Neurospora crassa OR74A: one gene and its partner. The protein of the gene in region 2 interacts with the protein of the main gene of each other region in a pairwise test. Links are inferred from orthologs where the notes say so. Each region holds a gene or a part of one and is shown on either strand. Other genes may lie near its edges.

Region 1 (4,305 bases), on a different chromosome or scaffold from region 2:
AGTGTCTTTGCAAAAAGATATGGAGGTTCTTCGCAGTGCTGGGGAGTCATCTGGTCTATCATCTCGTTGGGCTTCATGGCCTGTGGCATCATTGCCGGTATTGCTGCATTTCCGCAAACGAGAGCGCAGCAGCAGGAAGATTCGCAGCATTTCATTCCAACCAAGTTCTGAGGATGGATTCTGAGGATTCGACATGTTCGAGGAAGGAAGCATGTGTTGGTAGCACAATTGGCGTTGGATCATTGAAAGTCATCATATTGTGGAGACATGGACCAAGAAAGAGCCTGGATAGGCAAGGCACGGTTGAAGACGTGAAGTTGGTGATACCCGTTGGCTTTTGTTTAGGATCGTTTGGACGGAGGGCTAAACAACACAGCAAACATTGTTCGTTTCGTGCATAGAAACGGGCGATGTTGATATACTACTACGTCTTTATGGTCTTGACCCTCGTTTTACCAGACACGAATCATTCTCTTTAAACGTGATATTGAGCGCAATCCCTATTTGAAACCCATTGATACATCTACATATACCTTATGTAAGATCCAAATTAATCTCCACGACCAAGTCCTTTTGTAACTTGGATCAAGAAAACCTGACCATCGAAAATGCCCTTCACCTTTGTCATTGGATAAATTCTCTCGCACGGCTGATAGGAAATGGCCCAGTCACGGCCACGTTGCGTATCTTACTGGTTCTACCAGAGAGCATAAGAAGCTTACTGGCCATCAAAATTGTAGATATCACATTGTTCTACAAAGTTTATCATCTATACCATATGCACTACTCTAAGACGATAGGAAATCGAAAGACTATGCTGCGCAGTAACACACCACCCCTCCCTGCATGCACCATAATGTCACATCAAACCCGAGTCAAATCATCTCCCTCTTATCCAAGAAAAGCAACTCATCAAATTCAGTTCATTACAGATTGAAACCCATCATTAACACCACGCCATCCCAGTCCCATCATAAACACATCAAGTTAGATCAAACAAATAGTCCTACCAGACATCTAAGCCCTCCACTCCTTATCAACCTTCTCCCACTCATCCAAGAAACCCTTGTAGAACTTGACACCAAGACCGGGGTCCAAGCTACCAGTCGTGGCACGGATACTGTGCATGCTCAACTGGGGAATACCGACATCCGCCGCCTTGACACCCATAGCACTGCTGAGCATAGGGCCCACGGTACCACCGGACCGGCTGTCATTGCGGATCATGTGCCTCTGGTTGACGCAGCCAGAAAGCTCGGCGACGCGGTCGAGGATGGCCATGGACACGCTATCCGTGGTCATGTGCGCCGAGGCATCGACACAAAGGGCCACACCGACGTTCAAGCGAGGAGAGTGATCGGTCAGGTTGGTTTGGGTAAAGTTGGGGTGGGCAGCGTGGGTCACGTCCGACGAGACGAGGAAAGAGTTGGCGTACGTCTGGCCCATGAGACCGGGGCCGAGGCCGGTGCCGCCGATGAAAGCATTTTGGTAGAGAGTGTTGGTGTTGGCAACGAGAGCCTCGACGGTGCGCTCGATAACAATGGGGAGGAAGTTACCGCGCGCACCCTGGCGGAGGAGGGAGCCAATCTCCTCGTCGTCGAAAAGCGCTACGAGCTTGATGACGCCAGAGTCCTCATCGTCACGGGCGTGGAGGAGGGCCATGAAAGCGGCCCACGAGCAGAGCTTGTCGTCGATGCGGCCGGCAAAGATGAACTCCTTGTCGATACCACCAACTTGGGCGGGCTGAGAGTCGTAGAGCTCGAGCTCCCAGTTGAGAATGTTGGTGTAGTCCTCAAGCTTGAGCTGGGAAGCAATGAGCTTGACGAGCTTAGGAGGCTGGGTAGAGACGAAAGAACCCTTGGGGCCAATGGGCTTCTCGGAGGAGGCGGTGGAAGAGGAGTTGAGGTCGCTGTTATCGAGGCCAATGATGGGGGTCATCTCGGTCTCCTGGTTGTTGTGGCCCGTCATACCAATGCCGAAATGGGGAGCCAGAGTAGGGATACGAGCAACTGGAAAGTGTGTGTTAGCTTTCATCGGATGGAATTGGGTTGGGGGGAGTCAACATACTGGGCCAATCAAGCTTGACGACCTTGGTAGAGGTCTTGCCCGTCTCGGGATCCTTAACAATGACACGACCACCGATGCTCAAGTCTCTGTCCCACCATGTGCTGTTGAGAGCGCCGGCATACTGGGCAATGCCGAGCTGGACATAGCCATCGTGGCTAGGCTTGGTGCTGATAGGCTTGAGGCGGGCTGTGAGGGCGTCGATGTGACCGGCGACCATAGCAAGACCGTTGCCTGGCTTATACGCCTTGCCGACGGCCCAGGCGATGATGGAGCTGCCATTGCGAGTGGTGTAGTACTTGCCGCCGGGCTTGATCTGGCCAGACCAGGAGTCTCTGCTGTGAAGCTACAAATTACAAGGCGCTTAGTCAGTTTCGGTCCTTGTGCCTCGGTTGTGGTATTTCAACTGCGGGAGGGGGGCTGGGAAGCTGTGACGGCTTACCTCTTTGTAGCCGGCCTTGTCAAGCTTCTCCTTGAAGTAACCAACAGCGTGGAAAACGGTTGGGTTCTCGGTCATGAACTCGAGGTATGGCTTGGTGAAAGCCTCGGGCTTGATGTCCTTGGCATTGATCTGGTTGGCAGCAACAGGCTGCTGGGGCTGCTGAGGAGGAGCGTAGTATGTTTGCGAGGCCATCATGGACTGCTCGAGGGCTTGCGCTCGGAGAGACATCATGGATGTACGGGCAGCGAGATATTCGGGAGTGGCGCGGACCATTGTGTATATCTGGGTGATGCGGATGGATTTGTATGTTTTGGAGAGAAGAGAAATGAGAAGATGACAGGGAGGAACAAGAGGACGAGATGATGACACGCACGAGATGGCAACAGAAAGGAAGGCGGTCGGTCGGTGAACAGCTTCCACTTACAAAGGTGTACATGTACAGTAGGTAGCTACCTCTACCGGCTATAGGTTGCAGCTACAGCCTACAGCTACAGGGTACAGCACAGCGAGTAGGCGGTACCCCGGTTGCCAACAATCCGTCCAGGTGACGCGCTTATCACTGGCTAGGCGGTTCTGGGCAGCTGGAGTCAGCTACATGGTGGGCTCGGTGGGGTACTTGATCCCATCAAATGAGCTCTTTGATAGGCCGGATTTGGCCTTTGATGTCCCCGCGGCCCCAACCCCCGGCTCCTGCCTCATGCCAGGGCAAGATCGGCGCTAAGGTGCGCTGCAGTGATAAGCAGCCCTGGGTTAGAGGTCCATCGTATAAGGCAGGTAGAGCTCTCCCAGCTCAGTTGTACATTTGCACATTTGATTGACCTTCACTTCAATGACCATGATGAAGCAGAATACGTACAAGAAAAGCACTTACTAATTTCAATCCTTTTTGATCCTTAACATCTCAGAGTGAAACTGTTCGCGTCCATAGTCTTTTGCTTCTGTCAGTCAGCATCAATCTTGTGTACCCGACGAGTGTTTCATCAAGTCATCCGCTTGCGTCCAGATTCACTCGTCGATACCGCATTCCTGAGATACCTCACGGAATTAGCAAACTCGGTCTCATATTCTAAGTCGGATGGGTCTTGCTCACCGGACATATGGTGCTGTCAAAAAGATTACGAGACAAACACATCAGAATTGATCGTCCGTTCAAGCATGCAGAATAGTCGAGCAATCCATCAAGACTCTGAATCATCAAAGTGAGCATTCCAAACTGGTACATGACAATCTCTCCAATACATGTAGTCAGGTCAGTCGGATATGGTACCCGTATCCGTGCTCTGTTCACTTGGCAATACCAATAGCGACATGTGCTGGATAGAGCTGAGGTTCATGCAAATCTATCATATTTGTACGACCTTGCGATAGGTGTTCACGAACACAGCTGGATTATAAGGCAAGTGTGCAAACAATAAAGCATGAGGTAGCCCAAGTTCTGTCCAGTATATTCCGGTCCTGGCACGATATCTCATTGTGAAGAGTGAAGTTGAATAGTGAACCCATAGGGAGATTTGAGCACGAGACTGACCGTAACACGTCCTCTGACATTATCTTTTCGAGAGAGTAAAGAGTATGTTTGAATATCTACCAACAGGCGAGCTTGAACATAGTCTTCAACTCCATTCCCCTTTCTGCTTATAGGGCACATTTGGTGTAGATATTCGTACATCAGTCGTCGCAAACTGGCCTATCGACAAGTGCACTCATCATCTGAAGCTCAAACTCTTCCACTCCAAGATCTCTTTCGTTCCGAATACAATATTTGCACGCCGAGAGACGATAACTTCTCGAACAACCCA
Region 2 (4,438 bases):
TGCCATTCGACGGTGGATTGGACTTCGATGTAGGATTGGAGCTCGTTGACAGCCGCCGAGAGGCTGATGATGGTGGAGATGTGGGATTGCTCGGAGATCTTGGTCTTGGTGATGACGCTGACGCGATGCGTTTTTTCTTCGTGCACTTGGGTCTCGCTGGACTGGAGCTCCTTGCGCGTGTCGAGGTGATAGACTTCGACGTCCCAGGCTTGCCAGTAGAGCGGCTTGTCGTCGAAGATGACGAACTGGTTGGCGCGCTGGCCTTCAGGGATGACCTCGCGCCTGTCGTATTTGTCGTAGAGGGACGTGATGGTGCCGGCCTCGACACGGACCTTGAGTCGCTTATTCTCGAGGACGAAAACACCGTTGGATAGCTTGTGGAGCTTGACCCCGTCGTCCACTTGCATGATTTCGTATTGCTGGAGTTTAAGGAGAGGACCTACACCCTTGGCAAGGGCAAAATCACCCTTGGAAATCTCAACAAGCTCCTCGCGGTACCAGGGTAAAGTGTTCAGGGCAATGCCGCGCTCCACGCCCGTGGCGTCTACTTGGAAAACGCCTAATGCCTTGCATGCATCCCTCAAGAGCCTCTCACCGGTCTTGAAAATTTGAGCATAGAGCTGTCGAAGGGAAGTCAGTAATCCTTCATCACGAACAAACTAATCAAGCCCAAACATACCTTATCCGAATCATCATAACACATCTCAATTGAGCTGCCAGGGAGACAATCATGGAACTGGCAGAGCAGTGTTGCCTCCCACATTTCGTCGATTTCCTTCTTTGGATACTTGTAGTCCTTGTCCTTGAGTGAGGCAATCGTTGCGAGCTGCTCGATGTCCCTCAGCACAAACTCAGCTTTCCGGTTGAACTTTTTGTTGTTCGCTTGCGTAGTGTATGTTCCGCGGTGCAGCTCGAAGTACAGTTCACCAAACCAGGTAACCAGCGAATCAGCCTTCCGCTCGAGACTATCAAAGAAGTCATCTACCGAACCGCCCAGAGACACCCGCGGTAGGAGACCAACAGTATCGCTGATACCGCGGCAGCGACGAAGCTTCTCTAGGTGCTGCCACGTAGGGCCGCCACCTCCATCTCCCTTGCCAAAGACGAGCAAAGACGTATGATCTTGGTCGAGAGACTTGTGTTGTGACATGCTGCGCTTAACATCGCCAAAGTGGGCCTCGGCGGTGTAGGTTTCTGAAGGGGGCATGTGGCAGATGACCTGCGTGCCGTCGAGGGCAACCCAGTTGAAGGTTGTGTGGGGGAACTTGTTGATGTTGTTCCAGCTCAGCTTTTGGGTTAGGAACCGAGTCATGCCAGCGAGGCGGCAGAGTTGGGGTAGCTGACTGGAATAGCCAAAAGTGTCAGGCAGCCAGAATGTTTGGCACCTCTTTCCAAAGTTGCTCTCGAAGAAACGCTGGCCGTACACGAACTGCCGGACCAAGGACTCGCCGCTGGGCATGTTGGTGTCGTGCTCAACCCAGCTACCTCCGATAGGATGGAAACGACCGTCGGCCACCTTGCTCTTGACACGTTCCCAGACATGGGGGTATAGAGTCTTGCACCATTTGTATTGCTGTGCTTGTGAGCAAGCAAAGTTGAGTTCTGGGTAGCGGTCCATGAGGTCGCATTGGTTAGACCAAGATCGAGCTACCTTGCGCTTGGTCTCATCCCAGGGCCATAGCCAGCAACTGTCGATGTGACAATGGCCGATACCAAAAACAAGCGGTGCCTTTCCCCTCTTGGTGTCGTATACCCTGGCCGAGTCAACGTCCGGACCAAGGTACTGCTGAGCAATTTCCCGACACTTTTTGAGCGAGTCTTTATTGCCGAGCTCAAAGGCCTCGATAATCTCATTGCACGTCTTCAGCGCCTGATGCTGCTCCCACGATTCACTCGGGAACTCGCGTGCCGCATCACCAATGATCCAGATATCGATGTATAGCTGCCTCGCATCGGGGTTCACAGCCACAATTTCGGCCTTGTCGAGACGAAAGTGCTTGTTTGGATCAGGAGGCTGGATGATATCGCCCCCTCCCGCTGCACCAAACATGCCATTGCAGGCCATCTCGATGTAGATGATATGTTCCTTTCCGTCACGGAACGAGTCTGGCAATATCCACTCGGTACGCTCACCACCGCCCGTTAAGCCCTGCAGCGGCTTGCCATCGTGCGTCCAGACCATGCCCTCGTTATTGGCGTCCCAGTGGAGTTCGAGCAGCCTCTTATCGCGCAAGTCCTCGGGGACCGTAAGGACAACCTTGAACCAGTGGGTCGACCAGGCAGGGCCGAATCGAGCGCCGACTTCTGTCTTTCTGAACTCGTGCTTGACGGCCTCGTCAAAGGTTGGTCGATCCTGGTCGGGGGCATCCCAGACGAACAGCTTGACATGGGGCTCGCCCTCGGCGACACCCTCGTACATCATGGCGTTGAGATTGTTGTGCTCCCATTGTCCCTTTGCGTAAAACTGACTGATACGATCCTTGTAGATGTTGGTGATGTACTGGCCGACCGGCTTGGGTGCGCGTAGCGGGTAAGCCGAGATGGGCTTGCTCTGAGTTGCTGATTCCCCGCCCATCTTGATATAGTGCGGGTATATGGTGTTTTGATAGGGGGTCGAGCAGTCGACGGGGACGGGGAAACGAGTATTCTAGGATCTTGCCGGGAGGGCGGGCGCAGATATAAGCTCGAGGAGAGGAATTAGGCAAGGTAGGTTTAGAAATCGTCGGTAGGTAAGGTAGTATGGTTCAAGCGTAGGTCATAACACGACAAGTCATCCAACAGGTTCTCAAAAGTAGTTGAAGAAGGTTAAAGCGTCTGTATGTTTGGCTATATCTCTGACGAAACTAACGAAAGTGCTGTACACATTGGAGCCAACTGGAATGGACGGTATTGGTATTGGTATCGTATGGTTTCGGCTCGCGAGGCCAGCGAACACGTCTAGCGGGGGGGGAGGGGTCAATCGCGGGTCGAGGGTCGAGAAGGAGGAGGATGATAATGATGATGATGATGGAGGAGGAGCAGCAAAAGGAGCAACTACGTCTAGGAGTGGGAGGAAACGAGGAAATGCTTCCACACTTGCAAGAGGACTGACGGCGGGACTGACCAACGGGGGGGGGGGGGGGGGGGTTGGTTCTCGGACCCAGTCCTCTTGCCCGCCAACCTACCTAATGTTTCCTTCCATCGCTGTCCAGGCGAAGCGCTGAATGGCAGGCTGGCAGCTGGCTGGCCCCGAGATAGGTAGGTGGTTCTGGCTGTCCTGGTGCAAGCCTGGGGAGGAGGTCGGGCTGCTGAGGTGGTCAGGGAGGGAGGGGAGGGGGAGTCAGGGCCGGGGCGGTGGTGGTGTGTCTAATCCCCGCCCGCCTAGGGTACCTCTAGTGCGGCGCAGGTGCTGAGCTGTTCCTGCTCGTTTGTGCTGTCAGGGCTGAGGGTTCAGGTTGTGGCCGGGGTAGATCCACTGCAAGCCACGCCTGAAACACCAGAAAAACAGCAAGTATGGACACGGGGGGGGGGGGGCAAAGGGAAGGGGTCTGGGGGGCACAAACCCGACGCAATGCGGGGAGGATCCAAGTCACTCACATGTTCACCATTGGATCCCTGCTCTGGGCTGACTTGGATGATTTGATCCGCCTGCCTGCGGCTGGGCAGTCAACCCCATTCTTCCTTCCTTCCTTCCGGCCTGCACTCTGCAGCAGAAAGATGAAGTGAGTGCAACAGGGCAGCGGCTTGTACAGCAACAGCCAATTTGGACCCCAACATGTCTGGAAAGTTTCGAAATGTCGATGCATTACACGCACGCATTACACGCATGTCGGTCGATCCTTTTCATTCAAACGACGAGGAACCACGACAACATGCCTAGCCGTCAACAGTTCCTGTCCCGTTTCAGCAACCGCGTTGGCCGACCATACATCGTGAAACACACTACACTTTCCAGGCCTCGATTTGGCCGAAATTTGAACTACATGATCTTGTCTTTCTTCTGCTTCTTTTCTTTTTACATCTTCAAGGTAAAGTTTGCGAACTTGCTTGCAATAGCGTCCATCCGTCCTCCAATCCGAAATAGCGAATCAGATACGCCTCCGCCGGGTCGTATTTCCGCAAGTCTCGCCTTTTCTCTTCACACCTCTGCCAGCATTTACACTAGAATACTCTGTCAGCGCGGTAAAATTGCATGTGGCGATAACTTTGGTTTTCCTACAGAGAACGGTTGGTATTATGCCTGCCGCCAACCAGTCAAATTCTGCGAGGTGGCGGTACCACGCTAACAGAGTGCATGCCGGCGGAGATGTACAAACAGGTAATCCGCGTAGCGCTTGGCCCCCATTTCTGTCAAGGTGGTTTTGATTGTAGATATCTCGGAACAAAAATCAGACAACCAAGACATAGAATGGAACCTTGACAGCATCTGACACATACACGTACAGACTGAGAGAAAGAC

What was found. The genes of interacting proteins can lie anywhere in the genome.
Region 1: the proteins of gh38-1 (region 2) and NCU04192 interact in binary tests that used the Saccharomyces cerevisiae proteins (3 or more experiments, as listed by UniProt). The link is inferred for Neurospora crassa OR74A from reciprocal best matches to the Saccharomyces cerevisiae genes AMS1 and APE1.

What each region holds. Positions count from the first base shown.
Region 1 is NC_026505.1:5,157,092-5,161,396, reverse strand, and holds NCU04192 (vacuolar aspartyl aminopeptidase Lap4), read right to left. Parts: upstream 2,921-4,305; 5' UTR 2,780-2,920; coding exon 2,507-2,779; intron 2,411-2,506; coding exon 2,068-2,410; intron 2,010-2,067; coding exon 1,018-2,009; 3' UTR 683-1,017; downstream 1-682. Other genes in the region: NCU04193 (hypothetical protein), read left to right, coding at 1-171. UniProt on the Saccharomyces cerevisiae protein: Resident vacuolar enzyme that catalyzes the removal of amino acids from the N-terminus of peptides and proteins. Also acts as the major cargo protein of the cytoplasm-to-vacuole targeting (Cvt) pathway.
Region 2 is NC_026501.1:6,051,090-6,055,527, reverse strand, and holds the start of gh38-1 (alpha-mannosidase), read right to left. Parts: upstream 3,045-4,438; 5' UTR 2,576-3,044; coding exon 680-2,575; intron 621-679; coding exon 1-620. UniProt on the Saccharomyces cerevisiae protein: Degrades free oligosaccharides in the vacuole.